Linked DNA regions of Notamacropus eugenii. The protein of the gene in region 2 purifies or fractionates together with the protein of the main gene of each other region. This does not show direct contact. Links are inferred from orthologs where the notes say so. Each region holds a gene or a part of one and is shown on either strand. Other genes may lie near its edges. The genes, in order: SF3A3, SNRPA1 and SF3B4.

The links.
Region 1: the proteins of SNRPA1 (region 2) and SF3A3 purify together in Homo sapiens (affinity purification with mass spectrometry; 6 studies listed by BioGRID and IntAct, counting the BioPlex papers as one, with this or other methods). This does not show direct contact. The link is inferred for Notamacropus eugenii from reciprocal best matches to the Homo sapiens genes SNRPA1 and SF3A3.
Region 3: the proteins of SNRPA1 (region 2) and SF3B4 purify together in Homo sapiens (affinity purification with mass spectrometry; 3 studies listed by BioGRID and IntAct, counting the BioPlex papers as one, with this or other methods). This does not show direct contact. The link is inferred for Notamacropus eugenii from reciprocal best matches to the Homo sapiens genes SNRPA1 and SF3B4.

The regions. Positions count from the first base shown.
Region 1 is NC_092876.1:81,243,366-81,250,746, forward strand, and holds the start of SF3A3 (splicing factor 3A subunit 3), read left to right. Parts: upstream 1-2,514; 5' UTR 2,515-2,647; coding exon 2,648-2,743; intron 2,744-2,981; coding exon 2,982-3,029; intron 3,030-4,880; coding exon 4,881-4,933; intron 4,934-5,041; coding exon 5,042-5,147; intron 5,148-7,381. UniProt on the Homo sapiens protein: Component of the 17S U2 SnRNP complex of the spliceosome, a large ribonucleoprotein complex that removes introns from transcribed pre-mRNAs.
Region 2 is NC_092872.1:153,138,929-153,146,309, forward strand, and holds the start of SNRPA1 (U2 small nuclear ribonucleoprotein A'), read left to right. Parts: upstream 1-2,114; 5' UTR 2,115-2,261; coding exon 2,262-2,343; intron 2,344-4,547; coding exon 4,548-4,695; intron 4,696-6,397; coding exon 6,398-6,476; intron 6,477-7,381. UniProt on the Homo sapiens protein: Involved in pre-mRNA splicing as component of the spliceosome. Associated with sn-RNP U2, where it contributes to the binding of stem loop IV of U2 snRNA.
Region 3 is NC_092873.1:303,752,973-303,760,353, forward strand, and holds SF3B4 (splicing factor 3B subunit 4), read right to left. Parts: upstream 4,667-7,381; 5' UTR 4,329-4,666; coding exon 4,175-4,328; intron 3,849-4,174; coding exon 3,720-3,848; intron 3,432-3,719; coding exon 2,889-3,431; intron 2,593-2,888; coding exon 2,386-2,592; intron 824-2,385; coding exon 650-823; intron 494-649; coding exon 306-493; 3' UTR 89-305; downstream 1-88. UniProt on the Homo sapiens protein: Component of the 17S U2 SnRNP complex of the spliceosome, a large ribonucleoprotein complex that removes introns from transcribed pre-mRNAs.

The DNA.
Region 1 (7,381 bases), on a different chromosome or scaffold from region 2:
AGCCAACATATGGGCTGGTAATGACGAGGTTGAGGGGTGATGGGGAACCCCCAAATACAGACAGTCTGGGTCGTGCTCGAATGAATTCGACTCAAGCCTTCTTAAAGCCAAAGAAAACAAAGTTTATTAAAGATTCGCCAAATTGGGTTGCCTCTTAAAGAGCCTAAGCATTTGTGACGCTTGTATTCACAAGTGGGCCAGATGGAATCTCAGCTAGACAGAGTCTGAGCTGGATTGCATCTGAGCGCCTTCATGGAGGCAAGATGGAACTTAAACACAAAAAAGGGTATAGGAGGGATCTGGGGGGTGGTCAAGTAGTCCAGGGTGATGGGAGGAGGGGTTTAGGAAGGGTCTTGAGGAGAAGTCCCAGGAGGAAATCCAAGGAGGGTCAAAGGCTGGAAACAGCTGGAGGCTATCACAAGACAGACTAGGGGGCAGACTAGGGGGCACCTAGGTGGGAAGCAGGTGGGGCAATCCAGAGCTCTTGATAGGGGCTGTATGGGAATGGATACAGATCTTGAGGGGAGTGGTTGGTAGACTGGGGAATGGGGTTTTGATGGGATCAAGGGTGGGGAGTGCAACAGAGACCTGAGAAGAATGATAATGAAAAGCCCATGGGCTTCCTGAGACTGCTGGAACAAATGGGAAGATTAGATTTGAGTAAGAAAGGCCAGATTAAGTGGGAAGATTCAAGGGGAGTCAAAGAGGCTCCCAGAGTCTGAACCCCATCAGTAACAGTGGAGCAGAAAAAGAGTGGGAGCTGTGTAAACCGTGGCAACTCACTTCATCTCAGAGTCTGTAAAAATGTAAAAATGGGAGTGATAACATCACAAGGCTGTGAAAAAAGAGTTTTGTAAATTTTAAAGGACTATGGAAATTGTTCTCTGAGCCTCCTATGTAGTTTTCTCCTGTGTAGATAGATATGTCAACCAACAAATATTTGTTAAACATTAAAATTATATACTAAGCACTAGAGATAGTAAGAAAGGCAAAAACCAGGCCTTTTTCTTGAGTTAACTCAGACAACAGGTAAACAATTAAGTACAAACAAGCTACATGCAGGATAAACTGGAGATAATCAATGGAGAAAAGGTGCTAGGATTAAAAAGCTTCCTGCGGAAGGTGGGGTTTTGGTGGGGACTTGAAGGAAGCCGAGGAGGACCATGATATCAGGAAGGTGATACTGTTGAGGTTCAGGGCTGCTGGGGACCCCGAAATACTGACACGCCGGGTTTTGCTCGAATGAATTTGACTCAAGCCTTCTCAAAAACAATGAAAAACAAAGTTTATTAAAGATTTGCCATATTGGTTGACTCTTAAGGAGCTTAAGCATTTGTAAGGCTTGTATTCCCAAGTGGGCCAGATAGAATCTCAGCTAGACAGAATCTGAGCTGGACTGAATCTGAGTGCCTTCATGGAGGCTAGAGGGAACTTATATACAGAATGTGTGTGGGAAAGATCTAGAGGTCTGGGAGGAGGGTCTAAGGAGGATCTTGATGGGATGAATTGGGGTAACTAGGGATGAAATCCAGGGTGAGAAACAGCTGGAAGCAAATGGGAAGTATCAGACAATGCAGGGTCTGGGTGGAAAGTAGGTGCAAAAGGTAACAGACAATGGAAGGCCACGCTAGGCCAAGGGCAACAGATTTGAGTATGAAAGGCCACGTTAAGTGGGAAGATTCAAGGGGAGCTCAGGGAGGTTCCCAGAGTCTGAAGCCCATCAACACCATGACCTGCAAGTGAATTGGATTTAAGTGAGGCAGGATTGTGCAAGGTCACCAGCCTCACTTTCTCCTCCAGAGCCATCTAGGTGCAGGGACCAGAAATCCAAGGGAAAACACCGAGAAAGCAGAGAGAGAAGGTCTTGTTTGTGGAACTATCAGGAGACCAGCGTTGCCAGATCAAAGAGTACAAGGTAAGGGTGTAAGACGGTTAGAAAAGTGAGCAGGGCTTTGAATGACAAACTGCATTTTGTATCTGATTCCGAGGGCAACAGGGAGTCCCTGGAGACTTGTGTAGGGATGATTTCATCGTGGAAGAGGGGCTTTCTGTCTGGTTTGCGCCACTTTATCCGGGTCTCGGGGTCTTATCTGTGAAATGAGGCTGTGAAACGTGGATCCTGAACGTTTCCAAGGACGCTCTGGGATGATGAGTAAAGCATCGTGCAAGTGTGAGGAAGGCGAAGACTAAAATAAGGGCTCTGGACGTAGTAACAACAAGGGCAGTTGTTCATCTGTGAAATGGGGACGGGACACCTCCCCGGCTGCGCTCGCGGCCCGCTGTCAAGGGGCCAGGCTGGGAATGAGGGCTGGTGCCTCGCCGGCCCTGGCCCCCAGAGCCCAGGCTCCAGGACGCCCCGGGAGCGCACCCACTCTGGCAGCTCGGGACACCCTGCGCGCAGGCGGCTGATGGGCGCCAGTGTCTCCGCAAGGGCAGCAGGGGGCGCTGCCGCCTCGGCCCCAGCGCCCCGCTGCTCTCGCTGCCGCTCCCTGTACTGTCTCCTCCCCCATCCCCGATCCCAAGCAAGGACTTCCGGCGAGGGCGGAACCTTGGTGTCGCTGGGTGTGAGGCGCGGGCGGAAGAGCGCGGAGAAGCGCACTGGCGGCTGCCGCAACTTCCGGAGTGAGGTAGAGGTGGCGGGGGCAAGATGGAGACCATCCTCGAGCAGCAGCGGCGCTACCATGAAGAGAAGGAGCGGCTCATGGACGTCATGGCCAAAGAAATGCTTATTAAGAAGTCCACGGTGAGCGGCCGGAGGGAGGGCGGCGGGACGAGACGGGGAGGGAGAGGAAAAAAAAGCGGCCACATCCGGGATCCTGCCCCTCCCCCGGCTCCCAGGATCTCCCGTGTGCCAGGGACGCGTCCAGCCTGGGGGTCCCGTTCTGTCCGGGGGTGGGGGGGGGGGGGTCTGGAGGAAGGGAAATGCCGAGCGTCCCCGGCGGGTGGAGGCTGACCCAGGCTCTTGTGTCTTCCCCCTTCAGCTCCGGGACCAGATCAACTCGGACCATCGCACTCGGGCTATGCAGGACGTGAGTGCTGGGGCGGGGAGGGGCCGAAGGCTGTTGGAGCGTAGGCCCCCCACTGGGCAGGCCCGGCCGGCCGCTCGGGGAGTCCGGGTCCTCCGCGGCTGTTTGCGGGTGGTCTCCCCCGTGAGACCGGGAGCCCCTGAAGGGCAGCGACTGCCTGCTTTTGTGTCTTTCCCTGCGTCCTCCGAGTTTGTTATTAAGTTATTTTAACTAAATCGTTAAATTTATTAGTTATTGAAATTAAGTTGTTATTAAGTTTGCTGACCGAATTAATTTATTAATTTCGTATCATTTAAATGAATAAACTGTTAATAGCGGCTTATTGACCGGCATAGCGGGCGCCTAATTAGTGCTTGTGCGGCGAGGCACCAGGCCATCCGTGGTCCGGCAGAACTTGTGGGCCTGGCACTGTGCTGAGGGCACAACAGCAAACAGTCCGCTTCTCAAGGCGGTCACGGACCAGTGGGGATTGGCGTTTCTCCTGGGGCTTCCTTCCGACTCAGTGACCACTAACCACCCTCTCTGTGCAGAGAGGTAGGTTCGCTTCTGAAGGGAGCCGCCAGAAGGAAGAGGTTGGACTCTCAGGAGTACCCCTGGGCAAGCATCTGGTCTGTCCCCTGCCTGACCAAGACCTCTGCCTTGCTCGCCACGCTTTTGGACGATCTAGGCCCCTCCTGTGGTGCCTTTACCACAGCCGATAGACCAGCTCCGCCTGGGATGGGGAAGACCTGAGTTCACGTGCTTCCTGTCTGTGCACCCCTGGGCAAGTCGCTTCACCTCTGTCTGCCTCAGTGTCCTTATCTGTAAAATGGGAATAGTTCTAGCACCGACCTCCAAAGATTGTGGTGAGGTGAAAATGAGATGGTGCTGGTCAAGAGCTTTGCAAACCTTACAGTGAAATATAAATGGTAGCGATTGTTATTAGAACGTTTATGACCTCAAGCAAGGCATTTCACAACTTAATCTTTGGTGTTCTCTTTTCTGAAACAACTGTAATCATATTTGCACAGGATTGAGTAAACCACTTGGCGACCTTTGAAATATTGTGAAGTGTTATGTTATTAGTTGTAGTTATAGCTGGAAATAAGGAACGTGTAAATATATTTTGCGTTATTTTATGCATATAATGGGTATTGTACTTTTTTTGTTGCTGCCTTTTCATTGGGTGGTGGAGGGAAGGAGAGAATTCAGAACTAATTTTTTTTAATTGATTGTTAATACTACCACTTTTTTCACCACCATTACTACTACTATCGTACCACCAAGCTTGCCTTCCTTTTAGACTTATCTTTTAACTCCCTTCTTTTATATACAGTTTTCATCCCATCTTTGAGGAAGCTGCTCTAGCTTTGAATATAAAAAGTCTCTAATAAATATGTTCCCACTAATGTCTTGATGACTGAGGCCAGCATACTATGCTCTTCTTAACTCTCCACTTAGTTAGATTTTACTAAGGTGCTAGACCAAAAAGTAATATTAGAGAATGATGATGGGTTAGTAGAGAAAGAAGTTAAATGGGGAATAGACCTTCATTCTCAAATTATGTCATAAATAAGGCCGTTTCCAGTCATCCTGATGAATATCTGGTCACTGGATCCAGATGGTTCAGGAGGAAAAGTGAGGCTGGTGACCCTCACTCAAAACAAAGTCAAGTGCACACGGTCTTTTCGATAACCAAAGGATGAATACAGCAATAACAATATAAGTAACATCTTTACTGTCTGCTGAAGTCCTTGTGTCCCTTAATTTATCTTGAATAATCACTGAAGAGTCTTTGTTGGATATCCAACTATGTGGCGACAGAAACTGCTTTATGTTGATACAGTGTTTTTATTTGGTTTTTTTGCCTTTTAGAGGTATATGGAAGTCAGTGGGAATCTGAGAGATTTGTATGATGACAAGGATGGGTAAGTGGCAGTGCTGCGCCATGTATGGGTGATTGTGGGGTGCCAGTGTCAATCAAATTACTGACCCTGGTCCTTTGTTTTCTCTTTTGGTCCCTTTGGGAATTTCAGGTTAAGAAAGGAGGAACTCAGTGCTATTTCAGGACCAAATGAATTCGCAGAATTTTATAATAGACTCAAACAGATAAAAGAATTCCACCGGAAGCACCCAAATGAGGTAAGCATAGACTTTCAGAGTGAGCCAAGGGATACTTGAGAAAGAAGTAGCAGGGAGGAGGAACACTATTGATCTTTGGTTTTGTTTTGACTCATCAGTTACCTAATTTGCACCTTTGAATTGTTTTGATGACCTACAACAGTTGAGCAAGTGTCAGTATATTTGTCATTGAAAGACAGTGTAAGACAGACTTTGGCAACAGTTGTCTCTGTCTTTCCTTGTTTGCTGTATTAACACCTTTTCCTGTAAAATCATGTATGAATGTAGAGAATATATATATTTTTATTGTTGTTAGTATAGTATGACAGATAGGTGTTTTGGTGTAGTGGCACAGTAGACTGCGGGACTTAAAGTGAGGAAGACTTGGGCTCAAATCCTGCCTTGGATACTTACTAGCTATGTGACTATGGGTGAGTAATTTATCTTCTCTGAGCCTCAGTTTCCCCATCTGTAAAATAGGGATAATAGTAGTACCTACTTCCCAGGGTTGTTACAATGTTTGGTGAGCACTTTGCAAGCTCTAAAGGATTATGTGAATGTTCATTATGATTATTACTGTTATGATGTGTAGTTGTTCACAGTATTTGTGGCTTGGTCTTTGCCCTGAAAGAGCTAACTATCCCTGCAGAGTGACATATTTAAATACCAGACAGGAGACAGCCATGGTATACTGGGCTTCAGCTCAGGACTCTTTCCCCTGTACCCAGGAGAACAGGCTTTAATTCAGTTCTGGAACTAACGAGCTCTGTGACTTTGAGCAAGTCACTACTTCATGTTTCTGGGCCTCAGTTTTGGGATGGTTGTATTGGATGACCACTAAGATCCTTCCAGCTCTGACCTCGCATGAGTCTGAGGATACAGCCAGTAGGAATTTAGAGGCAATAAAGTGCTGGGGGTTGAGGAAACGGAAAGCTTCTGTCAAGAATAAGGACTTGAACTTGTCCGTGAAAGATGGTTAGATAGAATGGTGTGGGAAGGGAATTCCAGGGTAAGGAAGCATTGTGAAGAAAGGTGCAGAAGTGAGACTAAACAAGAAAAGCATGAGGAACAGGAATTAAATCAGCCTTGAGTGGAAGGTCATGTTGGATTTTAGTAGGAGAGGAGGAAAAGGAATTTGAGGTCAGACTGTAGATCCTTGAATTTCAGGATCAGGGAAGTGGAAGAACCATCAAAGACTTTTGAGGAAGGTTATTATGTAAAAGAAACAAAGTAAAAAGGGTAGTCTGCCAGTGGTATACAGGTCGAATTGGCTGCAGGGCCCAATAAGGCAGATTTTACATCTAGGTATAAGGTGATATGGACTGGGGCAAAGTTGGTGCCAAGGAGATGCTGAAGGTGAAAAGCTGAGTAGAGATGCCTGCATTGAGGGTGAATGTGGATGCAGCAGCTAAGGAAGCACATCTGCCAGTGTAAGGCTATACTTACCATTCTGGATTGCCACTTGCCTTCTGATCATGAACAGATGAACAGAAAAGTTATTATAACAGTAAGCATCCCAACATACAGAAGGGAGCCTGTTATCAGAGGTTCTTTGATATGCTTCTCTAAAAGGAAGGGCAACCTTTGAGGGGTTAACATTCACTTTAATCAAGCCTGACAGGTGTCAGAGAAAATCAGAATTTCAGAGAAATCAAAAATCAACAAACAACGCTTCCAAACTGCCTGACCATTAACATATATACTTACTTACCAGAGAGGGAAGCTTCAACATATGGATTTTCAAAGCCAGGGGGCTCCTTAGCGGGCTTCCCAGATTCTCATTTGGCACACAAACCTTCCAAAAACTAAATCCCAAAGAAAAACCTCACCCTCAAGAGTATTTATGCACTTTTCAGAGCCAGAGGATTACTTTGATCCAGTGCCTTAATAGAAAAAACAAAGGGTACTTGGGAACCTTCTACAAAACAACTCCTCTAATCAAGCTTCCCCTAATGGGCAGGCCCATCCATGGGTGGGGAAGATCTTATTTAATCACATTCAAACAGAGGCATTATATTTCCTGATTATACTAAAACAAAAACAGCCTGACATTGCTTGGCCTCACAGTTATTAAGCACTTGCTTTGTGCCAAACATGTGCTAAGTGCTGGGGATATAAAAAGAAAAGCAAGCAAGTAGAAGCAAAGAAGAGCTGTCAGGGGGCTCACATTTCTAATTATGGGCGAAAGCACGGATGTGGGACAGTTAGAAGATAGAGGCTTTAGCAGTCCTCATCGTGCAGCCACGGGCCAAGCC
Region 2 (7,381 bases):
CAGATCTTTAACAGCTTGTGCAATTACAACAACCTTGCAGAGAAAAACAACTTTGAAAGAATTTAAATTTCTGACAGTGGAACAATAAACCATGATTCCAGAGGACTGAAGATGAAATACTTCCTCCACAGAGGTTAATAATGCAGAGATGACCAATGTGGAAATCTGTTTTGCTGGACTATGCCTGTTCAAGTTGTGGGGCTTTTTTTAGTTGTTGTTCAGTGAGGGGTAGAATATTGAGAGGGATAAATTAGAAATGCATGTAAATTTTTTTTAAAAAAGAAGATATATGAAAGCCTCCAGATTATGCCTGATACTTGAGTCACCATGTCAATATAGAACACTCTCCTTGCAACTGCATTATTTAACAAATCTTTGATTCTAATTGATATAACTATAAGCAATGAAGACATTTTTCCCCCTTAACATACTCTATGATTTAGCAGATGATATAAATGAAATGTTGTGGCACCCTTCAAATCCATCACCTAAAGGCCACAATTTTGGTAAGAAATATCTCTCAGCTAGCAAGTTGATCTTTGGACTGTGGGCTTTTCAATTTTGGAGGAATCTGTCAAAACCTCTATGCTACAATGAGTCATTTCATGTATTTTTTCAAAGGTTTCAGAGCTATTGAAGAGGCTCAATATTTACTATATCATATAGCACAAAACCATAGATTTTAGAACAGGAATAATTCAACTATAGTGCTCTTTTTTTTCTGATACTGAAATGGACAGACCGAGACAAGCACAGGCAAGAGTCAATTGAGAATTTGGGAGCGTCTTTATTAGCCGGCGGCTGTCCTCAGAAGAGGCAGCCCCGAACAAAGGTGTGTGTGCCTTTTAAGCATCTTAGCACTTCCCAGTACAGTCTTGCAGTTCCAGTAGCAAACATTTTTCACAGAACAGTTTTGACAGGGGTTCCTAGGTGCTGCTAGGCAAGGTGGCACAACAGAGAGGGGGGCTCAAGCAGCTGCCAGGCAAAGGGGTACAACAGAGATGGGGGCCCAGGCAGCTGCCAGGCAAAGGGGTACAAAGAGAGGGGCTGCTAGGCGAAGGGGCACAACAGAAAGTGGCTACTAGGCCCAACCCTGCCTAGAAACTCAACAGACATTTCTCAACCCAGGGGCTACAATTCTAATTATTATGGTCTAAGTATGGGTTATTAGGTATTATCCATTAAAAAAGGAATAGAAATAATATTCCTAGCATATTCACTAGGAGGGAAGTCTGCATAGTTACATTTCTAGAGATTGCTTTCATAGATTTATAACTTGCTACTTTATTTCCTTTTTGATACATTGTTTCTCTATACAACACTTTTCACAACCCTCAAATAAATGTCTCTTCAAAGGGTATACCACCCCCCCACCCTCCACCCCCATCCCCGTCCCCACAACCATCAAAGGCTGGTTTCAATATTCAAAAAGAATGTGTGTTCTAACTTAGTACGATACATTGTTCTGTTGCTTATATTTGACCACCAGTTTTGCTACCTCTTGATGTTATCTGTATTTACCTTGTTGCTCTATACTGTTCTTTTAATTCGGCTTTCTTAATTCTGCTTCACTACTTTCTACAAATCTTCCCATGGAGTTTTCATATTCATCATTCCTTATGATGTAATTTATCCCATCATATTTATATATCAATTCATTCTGTCATTCCCAGTCGCTGGCGCATTATTTAAAAAAAGTTTCTATGAAGATCTTTTTGTACATGTGAGTCTTTTCTTGCTATAAATAAATTAATGGAAGTAGCAGAATCTTTTCTTGCCCAAATGCTTTTCCATAACCAGAAGCATCAAATGAGGTAACACAAGCAGAAAAAAAAAAGCGCTTTGCAAAACTTAAAGCTCTCTATAAATGCTAGCTACTAGCTAGCTACTGAATGGATGCGTCGGAAACACGCTGTCCTGCGTTCCTTCACCCTACAAAGCACACATTTAGCCCTATTTTTGCAAAGGACCCTAAACGAGCCTGTAAGAGACATAAAAGGTGGCTCCACGAGAGCAACGCAAGGGACTTTAAAACAGTGAGTGCCGGGAGCTCGATTGGGACTTTGGTCGAAGTTCTGGCGGAAGACAGGCAGTAGTTCCGATCTCCGTGATTCGCGAATTGATGGCTTTGGCCTGAACACGCTGCGGCCTCCCGAGGCCCGTGATTGGTTCTGTCCGACCGCGGGGGCGGTGCGCGGAGGCTGCTGGGTATTCTTTGGGGGCCGGAAGGAGCGGAGTCTGCGGTGCCTTGTGGCGACAAGATGGTGAAGCTCACGGCGGAGCTCATCGAGCAGGCGGCCCAGTACACCAACGCCGTGCGGGACCGTGAGCTGGACCTGAGAGGTAAGATCAGGGCGCTGGGAGGAGCGACGGAGAGGACCGCGGCCCCCGCGCTGGGCCTCGGGCCGGGGTCATGGAGCGCTGGGTGGCCTGCGCGCGCTTAGCGGGCCCGCGGGCGGCCTTTTCCGAAGCTGTAGAACAGCAGCTCGCCGCGCTGTGCGGTTCAACCTCCGCTCCGAACACAGAGGAGGAAACTGAGGCCCGCCCGGGGAAGGGAGAGGGCGTGCTCGAGGGCCTGCCCACCGGGCTCCCGAGACCCCCGCGAACAGAGTGGAGGAAATTGGAGTTTCTTGGTGCGCGCGGAAGAGGGTAACTCTTTAGAGAGCGTGACAGGCCCGGTCTGTCACTTGTTACTCTGTAGCGACCGCTCCCTTATTGTCTCATATTATCCGCTATTCTGTAGCACCCTCGCTCCTTTGTTTACCGCCCAGTGAGTCTCACTTCATTTTGTGACATTCCCCGCCACCACGGACCCCTCCAACGGTTCCATTTTTTGGACCACTCCCTGCTTTCACACGTACTCCGGTGTAGTGACGCTCACGGTGTATGTAGTCCGTGATGTTCAGAAGCTGTTCATTCTGACCTTTCTCTCTTTTATTACCCTTCGTAGTCTTATCTGCTTAATTGAAAAATTGAAAAGGCAGGCTTCACTTTAGTTCTGATGTTTATGAGCTAATTTGCACGTAGAGATCACATTCTGTCTTAGTTGGGAACTGTACTGTATCTTACTTGAATTAAGCTAACCTCCAACTGAAACTTACTGAACCAGGTACAGTGAACTAAGGAGAAATACCACAGTAACATGGACTTTTGAGGGCCACGCAAGTGGACAGGCAGATGTGAAGAATTAGATTCTGTGTGTGAAAAGAGCTTTAAATTGTTTTGATTTTTTTTTTAAGCTAGGTTTGAGTCCAGGTTTCATAGCTTGCTACCTGTATAATGCTGATCACTTCATCTCTCTGGACCTCGGTTTCCTTATTGGTTAAATGAAAGGGTTGGACTAGATTACTTTAAACAGAAGGAATTTTCAGGTCAAAATGAAATACTGTCTTGGTGTGACAAGGCATGAGTTAAAATATGAGAGATTTCATGGAAGGAAGGCATCACTTTGGAACATGGTTTTCACACTAGGATGGGGAGGTTGACCTTTCATCCTTTTTCTGTGAAATCCCAATTCCTTAAACTTCATAAGTTTTATATTGCACCCATGAGCAGTTATTTTAAAAAATTTTATATTATTAAATTAAATGTAGATAGAGGTGCACTTCAAGTTTCACCTTTTCTAAGAAAACTCTTTTGTCTTTGACCATGTTTATTGTCATATATGTTTATATTTAATTTAATGATACTTTTTCGTACACTTCCCAGCAAACACACAATCACCCCCAGCAAAGTATGTTCCCTAAAACTAGATTAACAGGACAGAGAATTGTGTGTTTTAACTTAGTTGGCATTTGTAGCAACTTCTAGTCATCGTATTTGACCAAATTTTGCTGCCTTTTAATGTTTGTGGGCATTGACATATCTGTGTATGTATGCATGTGTATATATGTTTATATACACACATATATGCATGTGTCTACTGTCTTCACTATCACCTGTAATAAATAATTTATTTCTCTGAAATCTTTGTATCTGAAATCACCTTATTTGTTAATTTCTTATAGCACAGATTAACACACTATAAATTTTTCGTCCATTCCCCAGTTGTTGGGACACATATTAGCTTCATTTTTTTGTTGTCACAATTTATGCTATGGATAGTTTTGTACATTTGAGGCTTTCTTGTATCTTTTATATCCAGTCCCAACTTCAGAATCTCTTGTTAAGAGTATGCACAATTCGGTAACTTTTGCATAATTCCAAATTGTTTTCTAGAATGGTTGAACCTGTTCATAATTCCACCAGCAGTAATTTAACATTATTGCCTTGTGTTGTTATTTAAATGCTCCATATGTGTATCATCTCTCAAAATAGGTTTTAAGTTCCAATATGGGTAGAAACTATACCTTTCCTTTGTGTCATCCTCAAAACTTTAATAAGTACTGGTTACTTAACTGTTTGTTGAATGAAGAATTGCTGGTGCTCTCATGGTGTAGATTCTAAAATGGATAACAATACCTGATTTAATTTACTGACACTGTTAATTTTAGCTATGGTGTACCTTGGCTACCTCAGTGTAATCTAATATCTTTACTGTTTTCCAGGATACAAGATTCCTGTAATTGAAAACTTGGGGGCTACCTTGGATCAGTTTGATGCTATTGATTTTTCTGATAATGAAATCAGAAAGTTGGATGGTTTTCCCTTGTTGAAAAGACTGAAAACATTATTGGTGAATAATAATAGAATATGGTAAGTGTTAGTTTTTCCCCTGAGTTAGCTGTTAGCTTAAAGCATGGTAAGCAGCTGCAGGTATGCTGAAATTTTTTAAAGCTGAAAAGTTTTATTCTTTCACAGAAATTCAAATAATTCATGGCAGTCTTTAATCCTAGTTTCTGTTTCATGTATCTAAAATTCACGTTGCAAAGGATCATCCACATAAGGAAATTAGCTACTGACAAAAGTTTAGTTTAATAATTTTTATTGCCCTCTTTTGATGTTTATTGCTTGGTATTTTTCTGCATATATGCAGTTTTTAATTATGAAATGAGAGTAAGTAAAAGGTCTGTGCAAGTATAATTTACTAACTTTTTCTGCCTCACCTGATTGACACTTTGTGTCTGCCTCTCCTACCAGATTTTATCTTGGATTCATGGTTCAGTCTGCTGTCTTGAAACAACATCGTAGCCAACAGAAAATATTAATTGGTCTTATTTGTGTGAAATTTGATATGTGTGCAAAGGTTATGGAGTTAAGTTAAAAGAAAAAATTGTGTTCTGCCTTTTAAAAAAAAAGTTTACATTACCCTTAACAATGGGTGGGTCCTATTCCTGTGAGTTAGGTTGGTTAATGTTTAATGTGTAGGACTTCATCTCTGAGTGAGGTCTATAGCTTGTAGAATTTGAGTAGAAACAGCTGTCAGTTTTTTCTCCTAAAGTAGAAAGGGCTGTCTCTGGGAATTGTGGGTTCCCTATCACTGAAGGCCTCCAGTCAGAGATTGGATGACCACTACTCAGTTTCTGTTCAGGATATGAGTTGATCTGGGATGTGATACCATATGTGGATAGAGGAAAGGGAAAGAAGAAAAGAAGGAAGGAAAAGAAAAGAGTTGTGCTGCCAACTGGCCAGTTCCACCATTGGATAGCTCTTTTTATACTCACCTTGGTTGCTGTTTGTCCATCTCTCTGGAAGAGAATGACTTCAGTCAAACCCTTAACTGCTAACTATGTGCTTTGGCCCAAGGGAATATAAATCTTAATATCTGAAATCTTTTTTTTAAACCCAAATCACTACTGCTCTCATTGATTGGCCAGCAGTGGGTCCCAGGCCAAGCCCTATTTGGTGTTTGGGCCTTGATTGGGTCAGAGTGATTGTAAATAGCAGTTGTTTTTGTTTTGATCAGAAACCCTGAGGGTCTTTCCCTCCCAGATAGATGGTTTTTTTTAAGATGGGGGAAGAATGAGGAAGACTCCATTCTCTGCCTCAGTTCCTATTAAGCCTTAATCACTGAGTGAACTTTACCTCAGTCAAACTAAGACCCATTGAAGACCTTAACTTAAAAAGGCCAAGGGCCCCCAATGCATCCTGGGCCATCTCCAGCTCTCTTGATCTATATCTGACTACTGAACTCAAAGGTCTGTGGAGGAGAAAGTAAGACTGATGACTTTTTACTACCCTCCCTCCCTTAAATCCAGTTCACTTGCACTTCATGGCATTACTTCCCTCATGTCATGGTCCTCTTCAAGAACAAAAGACATACTGCAGTGAGTTGATCTATCCACATGATCTCTAAGGTACCATTCAATTCTGAGTTGCTATGGGTTTGTGAATTGGTTACATAAGAAAAATAAATCTTGTTCATATTTAGGTTTCTTTATAGATCTTGAGTAAAAAGCTTTATTTCTTCTTTGATTCAATTATTGATTTTATTATAATAATCTTTATTCTGTTTTAGCCGAATAGGTGAGGGACTTGATCAGGCCCTGCCTAGCCTGAGAGAACTTATTCTTACCAACAATAGTATTGTGGAATTGGTAAGTTGAAAAAAATTTTGAATAATCATTGCAAATGTAGATCCAAAAAAGTTTTAAAAATAAAAATTTAAATTCCTATTTCTAAAATATATTCGTAAACAGAGATCAAGAAAACTTGCTCTTCTTTTATCCCTGACCTTTATTTGCTAGAGAATATGAAACATTGTGTCTATCATCAAATCAACTTGGGGAAATAGACCATCCACTAATTAAGGAAAAAAACCTAATATTTGGTAGTAAGTTGGGAGAGGGGAAATAACCAGGAAAAATGGGGAGAAGATACATTTTCTTTTTTAAAACAACGAGAAATTGGTGAGGCAATATTCAAACTTAAAAGTAAGGTTCTTTTTTCCACTATTCATATCTCTAATCCAGTAGCACCTTTGAATAGTTTAATTGCCATGCTTGACAAGTTTTTTTGAAGTGTTTTAGTGTTTATACTATAGAATGCTAGTGATTTCTTTAGATTTTATATGTAGTTTGTCTCAAGTTAGTATTGATAGGGTACATATAGTACATTGATAGACTTAGAGCATATTTTAATGATGTTTGCGGAAGTAATATGTGGTTCTGAGCATTTGTCTTCTCATTGTTGACCTTTTGATACATTGTCTTGGCTTTAAGTAAATTTTTGTTGTAATGATAAAGCTTTAGGAAAAGAGGAGTAATACTCTTTTTACATTGTCACTTAGATGAATCTAATCTGCTTAGTAGCATTAATATAGCAAGATTAAGGAAATCGTTGTAATATGCCCCATCATGAGAAAAAGGCTACTTTGATAAAGTACCAGCCAATTGGCAGCCCTACTTGGAACCTCTGTGGGGAATATGAGTCAGTTCATTTAAGGAGCGACTCGTCCTTGATGGTGGTTATAGGTTATATGACACTTTACTTTTTGCAGGTG
Region 3 (7,381 bases), on a different chromosome or scaffold from region 2:
CTTTACTATCTCCTTCACCCTCCTTCCTCCATCATACACCTCCTTCCTTCCAGGGGCGATACTTCAACAAGAATAATATCGTACAGGATAAACAAGGGATCCAGCTTTATTCACTGTCAATATTTGGGGAAGTAAAACCCAACATAGAAAAAAGTCCAGTGGGGGGGAAAAAATCACACTGGAAAAAGGGACAAATTTGAGGAAGAAAAGCGTGCCTCAGGCCCAGGGGGCAACTGTTCCTCTGACTGGTCCAAAAGACAGGGAGAGTCTCAGAGGAATGCAACAGATTGTAGAGAAATTTGGCACTACTGAGGAAGAGGGCCCCGGAGTGGACCCCGAGGGGGTACTGGCGGACGGGGGGAGGGCCGCGGTGGAGGAAGAGGTCCTCTTTGGTAGCCATAGGGTGGAGGTCGAGGGGGACCGCTGTATCCGTGGGGGGGCATTAACGGAGGAGGTCCTCGCATACCATGGGGAGGCATGGGGCCTGGGTGACCTGAGTGAGAAAAAGAGAGAGATCAGAGATAACAACAAACAGAGAATACATCATTATGAGGTAAATTCTGGGGAAAAAAGATGAAGGGAGGGCAGTAAGTGAAGAGTAAAGGAATTAAGAAAGGAGAAAGTATGAGATGGGTACAAGTCTACTCACCCATGGGAGACCCAAAAGGGGGTCCTCGGGGTGGCATTCCCATGGGAGGGGGGCCGGGATGAGGCATTCCTGGTGGTGGTCGTGGAGGAGGCTGCCCCCCTGAGCCTGGGGGCCCAGCATGGGGGTGTCCCAAGCCATGGGGACCATGGTGGGCAAGCTGCATCTGAGACATACCTACACAAAAGAAAGAAGACATAAGAATTAAATGAAGGGGGAAGCTAAGGTTATAGAAATGAGCAGAGGAAAGCAAGCCAGGAGTCCAAAACAAAAAGAAATTCCCCAACTGATAAATGGTCAAAGGACATGAACAGGCAGTTTTCAGAGGAAGAAATTAAAGCTATCTATAGTCATATGAAAAAATACTCTAAATCACTGTCAATTAGAGAGACGCAAATCAAAACAACTCTGAGGTACCACACCACACCTATTAGATTGGCTAACATGACAAAACAGGAAGATGACAAATGCTAGAGAAGATGTAGGAGAGTTGGAACACTATTTCATTGTTGGTGAAGCTATGAGCTGATCCAACCCTTCTGGAGAGCAATTTGGAATTATGCCCAAAGGCTTACAAAAATATGCACACCCTTTGACCCAGCAATACTGCTTCTAGACCATAAAAACAGGAAAAGTTCCCACACGTACAAAAGTATTTTTAGCAGCTCTCTTTGTGGTGGCCAAAAACTGGAAATCAAGGGGATGCCCATCAATTGGGGAATGGCTGAATAAATTGCGGTTTATGAATGTAATGGAATACTATTGTGCTATAAGAAACGATGAACAGGAAAACTTCAGAGAGACCTAGAAGGACTTATATGAACTGATGCTGAGTGAAAGGAGCAGAACCAGGAGAACTTTGTACAGAGCAACCATCACAGTGTTCGAGGAATTTTTCTGGTAGACTTAATCCTTCATAGCAATGCAAGGACCTAAAAAATTCCCAATGGACTTTTGAGGCACAACACCTTCCACATCCAGAGAAAGAACTATGGAATTGGATTGCAGAATGAAGCAGACAATTTTCTCGTGTTCTGTTTTTTCTCATGATTTCTCCCATTCATTTTAGTTTTTCCATGCAACATGGCTAAGGTGAAAATGTATTTAGGAAGAATGTATATGTAGAACCCATCTAAGACTGAATGCTATCTCAGGGAGGGAGGGGGAGGGAGGGGAAGAAAGGGGGAAAAAAATCTAAGATTTATAAAAGTGATTGAAGAAAACTGAAAAAAAAAAATTAATTAAAAAAACCAGTTCTCCTTTAGGCCTTCAGAGCTACCCTCAAGTGAATACAGGTCATCACTGTGAATGACTACAAGTGAAACAGATGGTCTTGGGGAAAACATCAGGCTGATTTAAAAGAAATTACCTTTACTTCTACAACTTCAAATAAAGTAAGATCAAAAAACCCCCAAAAAACAAAGAAGTAAAGGGATGAGAAAACAGGAGAATCAAGTTGGCAGGAAACAGGCCATAGCCATGCTATTTTTCTCAAAGAAAAATATACTACTTGATTAGTTAAAATAGAAAAACCTCCTACTCTCACAAGTTCTCTCTATGGGATCACATATCATCCCAGGAACAGAATTAGGAATTGGAGGGAGGTTGAAAGGATAGGAGGGACAAGGGAGGAGCCAAGTGCATAAGATATAGAAAAAAGAGAAAGAGAAGAAGAGTCAAGATGTAATCAGCCCCTTCCCCCTCATTTGTCCCTCTCATTCCCAGCACAGAACACCTACCAGGATGAGGCATCCCACCTGGTGGGAATGGATGTGGATGTGAGTGTCCATGTCCAGGATGTCCTGCTCCAGGGGTTCCTGTTGATGGAGGGCCATGGGCTCCAGCCCCAGGAGGCATAGGTGGTGGAGGCATGGCTGGGGGTATTCCTGGAGGAAGAGCTCCAGGAGGTGGCACTGGAGGTGGGAATGAGCCTGGTGGGGGCATACCTAAAAAGAAATATAGAAAGAAGAGTCTGTATCAATAAACCAGGACAGAAACTTTGTCCCACCATGTCCCCCTATTCACATGCCACTTAAGAAAATGACCTTCCCTCTCCACAAATTACTCATACAATAAGAGGCAATTTAAACAAAGATCTACAGCCTGGGCATTATTATCTCCAAGCCTCCCATCTCCAAACCCTTACTTCACTTCTTCACCATACTCCGACTATCCCTTCCGTCTCCTTGTCCCGCCAGCCTTGGTCTACCCCTCACTTTCACACGCCCAATCCATGTTTTACCTGGCGGAGGAAGCCCAGATCCCAAGGAAGACACAACAGGATTGGGGGCGGACGGTGGAGGTGGTGCATCCGCAAACAGCTGGTGGGGCCGATCCGCCTGGGACAGGGGGTTCTGGGCTGCCAGAAGCCGCTCGGCCGCGGAGCCGTGCCGTTCCCCCTTAGAGTCCTTCTTGAAGGCGTAAGACACTGTGATGGGCCGATTACACAGATACTGCCCGTTCATGGCCTCAATCGCTGCATCGGAGGCATCGAACGAAGCAAAATTAATAAAGGCGTAGCCCTTGGAGTTGCCTGTGTCAGGGTCCCGCATAATCTTGGGGGTCTGCAAAATAACCCCGAAGGCGCTGAAGGTGTCATAGAGCAGCTTCTCATCGATCTCGGGGTCTAGGTTCCCTATAAAAATGTTGGCCCCCACATCGAGGTTCTTGTTGTGAGCTGACGCTTTGTTCACTCGTATGGGCTTCCCGTACAGCTTGATCATGTTCATGATCTTAATGGCGTAGTCCGCATCCTCCTCGCTCAGGAACTCCACAAAGCCATAGCCTGGAGAAGGCCAAGGGCGGAAGGTTAGACTGGGCGCGCACCGTCCGCTAAGAGCCCCGAGGGGACACCATTTGTCCCACTCCCGCAAAAAAAAGAAAGCCCAGGGGCACGTACGGGGAAGAGAAGAAAAGAGCGTGCTTGTCATCGCAGCGGAGGAATCCAAGCCAAGGAAGCTAGAAGCCGCACAAAGTTTGGAGAGACGAGAGTAAAAGCCTCGCTGACACTGGCCGCCCGGGGGCGCGTGGCCTCGCACGCCCCTTCCCTCCCCCATATCCTCCCCCTCCTCACCTTGGTGCTGCCCCGTGACTCTGTCCTTGGGCATGTGCGTGTTGACCACGGGCCCCGCCTGCAGAAAGAGCTCCCAGAGCAGCGGCTCGCTGACCTTCTCGTCCAGGCCCCCCACGTACACCGTAGCATCTGCGGGGCGAAGGGATGCGGACGTGAGAAGGGGGCGGGCCACCGCCGGTGGGCAGCGGTGTCCGACCAGGGCCGGGCCTCACGCTGCCTTCCTCAGGCGGCTTCTCCACGGCCCGGGGGGCAGGTGCACGGGAAACCCGCGGAGCCCTCCCTTCCCGCCTCTCCCCTCTCCCCCCGACCCGCTCGGCCATGGGGTCGCGGAGGCCTCCGGGCCTCTGCGACGCGGCGAACCCGCTTCCCCAGCCCCCGGCCCGGGCCCCCTCAACGAGCCGGGCTCGGGCCCGTGCGGACGCGGTTCCGGGCTTCCCGCCTCCTCCCCCACTCACCCTGATTCCGTTCGGAGATGGGCCCGGCCGCCATACTGAATCTGCTCCCGCCGTCTCCAGGCAGCGGCCCCGCAACGGGAACTTTTCCGCTTCCGGGGCAGCGGTAGGGGCGGGGCTGCCGGAGGAGGGCAGCGTGAGACGCGGCGGCGGCCATCTCGGAAGCGCCGGGCGTGGGCTGCCATGTTGGCTGAGCTGGCACGGGCCGCCTGAGGCAGGGCTCGGAGTCCTACCATCAGGGGCTTCCTCCACGTGACTTCGGGGAGGGTCTAAGTAGCGGCTCTCCTCCCCCACTCCCAGCCCCGACCATGAACCACAGAAGCCTGAATGGAATAAACCTTTATTTTTCAAGATAACTAATCACAAGATCTTGACATTCTGACCGCCACAGTTTATCTCAGTCTCCCTCACCTCACCCCCAAAGAGCGGTACGAGGACCACCCCCAAATCGAGGTCAATCATGATCAGGACCTAGAAAAGCGGCTCCTGGCTCACAGACACCGAAACGCCCCCTTTCCTCCTAACCAGGCGGCGCCGAAAAGTTGCCATAGCAATGGGGGGCGTTTCCGCCCCCAACCCAGAGTTTGTGCGAATGGGGGAAGTGGGGCTGAGAAAGGGAGCGATGTGGAGCTGGAAAGAGCTTAGGAGTCCGTCCGGTCCAACCTCCCCTCAAGTCCACAACTGGGTAAACTGAGGCCCAGGGAGGTTTAGTAACCTAGGAAGGGCTCTGACGTTGGCAGCTTTGCTAAAAAAAAACAAACCACCCCCCCAAAAGTCACGTGACGGCGCTGCTGATGCTGCTGCCGCTGCTCCTGCTGCCGCTCCTGCTGCTGCCGCTGCCGCCGCCGCCGCCGCCGCCGCCGCCGCTGCTCCTGCTGCACGATCCTTCCTCCGGCCAATGTCACGCCCCGCCTCCAGCCCACAAGTCCACACCAAAATGAAAGCCCACCTCATCACAATGCATCGCTGCCAAACACACCAACGACTACTATTAGCAGGCCTCTCCCCCTGCCCAACGGGCATCCTCCAGCCCGAACCCCTCAGGATCTCCCTGGCACCCTAACACAAAGGGGGCCTAAGGGGCATTGATTGCACTAGTTCCTGACATCCAACGCCTGGCCTCTTCTTGGCACAGATGCTGAGCTTCCTGACCCTGTCTGTGGTCCAGCTCATCAATGTCCCACAAGGGTCCCTGGATGCAGCGGTGGGTCTGCTCTACAGCCATGGGTCTAGAGTTAGGAAGACCTGAGCTCAAATCCAGCCTCAGATGTTACTAGCTATGGCAAGTTTTGGGCAAGTCACAACCTCTGTGTCTCAGTTTCCTCCACTGTAAAATGGGAATTATAACAACACTTACTTCACGGGGTGGTTGTGAAGGTCAGAGTGAGCTAATTAATATTTGTAAAGCTCTTAGCACCGTGGTAAGTGCTGTATGCTTCTTTCCTTCCCTGCACTAGGCATCCTCCCTGGATGGTGGACTGTAGTTTTATAATGTATGGGCTTTGCTATATCCCGTACACACTGAGCATATTCATATATTCATACCTGTATAGGACCCAGTCAGTCAACTAGCATTTAGTGAAGCACCTACTATGTGCCAGGCACCATACTAAAGGCTGAGGATACAAAGAACGGCAAAAAATCCATTCCTGTTCTCAAGGCCGTCATGATCAATTGAGGAAACAAAATGCAGACAACTATGTACAAACAAGATATGTACAGGATAAAATGGGGGTGGTCTCAAAAGGAAGACACTAAGATTAATAACTGAGAAAAATGTCTTGAAGAAGGAGGGACATTTAGCTCAAAACACTAAACTATTCCATTACAAATTTTATTTTATTGGATTCCTTCAAGTTCCCAAGTGTGTACCATGCTCAAACTATATCTGTAACAAAGGATTTAAGGAGTAAACTCCTTCTTGTTAGCCAGTCCAGAACCATCCCTATTCTACGTGTTATCCTCATTTAAAGGTTTGGTCCCATACTACTTCCCACCAACTTCTAAATCTTGCTGGAGGTCTAAGGCTCGAACCTCCAAGAATTCAGATCTTAGCTTATTTCACAGAGTTTGATCTTTGACTTTAGCCTGACCTCCAATACAATTGAAACTCTTCTATATTACTCCCTGAAAAAAGTCACTGAGAAGTCTTCTTAATCTAGGCCATACAAGGGTTAACCTGTATATAATTGGGCCCCACCATAATTCTCACTTGGTCCCTTCTCCTCATTGCCTTGTTTTCCCTGAAACTAATATTGGCATTGGGTAATAAATGATCAGTCAGTTGGATGATGATGCTTGTGCCCACATATCATTCCCACAGTACAAGATTTTCTGTCCCCATTTTCCCGACTTTATCCTAGCACCTATTCCCACATTATTCTTCTCAGAAGCAAAACCTATAGCTTGTATAAATATTTTTCATTGATGGTTTCTGTCACTACCAAAACATCTACATATGGAGGTGGTAGAGAGTCTCCCAATCCTACTCAGAAGCCATAGAGAGCTGAGACTGGAGCATGAAAGACCTGGATTTCAAATCCATCCTCAAACACTTACTAGTTGTGTTGACTCTAGGCAAGTCACTTAAAGTCTGTTTCCTTAAATGAAAAATTGGGATAAAAATAGCATATACTGTGCAGGGGTGTTATGAGAATCAGAAGAAATCACAGTTGTAACCTAATATCTAACACATAGTAAGATCTATTCCCTTTCTTCCTCTCTCTTCTCCATTCTATTTCCATAGAAAGCTGCAAAGAGAATAACTAGAAATTAAGAAGTAGAGAGATAGGCAGAAGGAAAATTAGGATTAGGTCTGTAGGAGCCATGTTGGTGAGTCATAACCAGTACCTCCACTTCAAATACTATACAACCGTAAACACACAAAGGATAGGATGGTCTTGAAGGGAGCAGGTTAAGATCCTAAATAATAAGATAATTACAAAGAAAAACATTTCAGGCACAAAACAGTCTCTGGGGAGTTGGAGGGAGGAGCAGGTGTCAGTGTTGGAGTTGACTCAGAATCATAGTTTCAGACCTGGAAATAGCCACATATTCTAGTGTGTACACACACACACACACACACACACACACACACACACACACATTTGGGACACCCTGTACATATAATATTTTACAGATTAAGAAAATCAGCTCAAGATAAGTGATTTGCTCAAGGTCACACGGAGTCAGAGCCACAAGAAGAATACT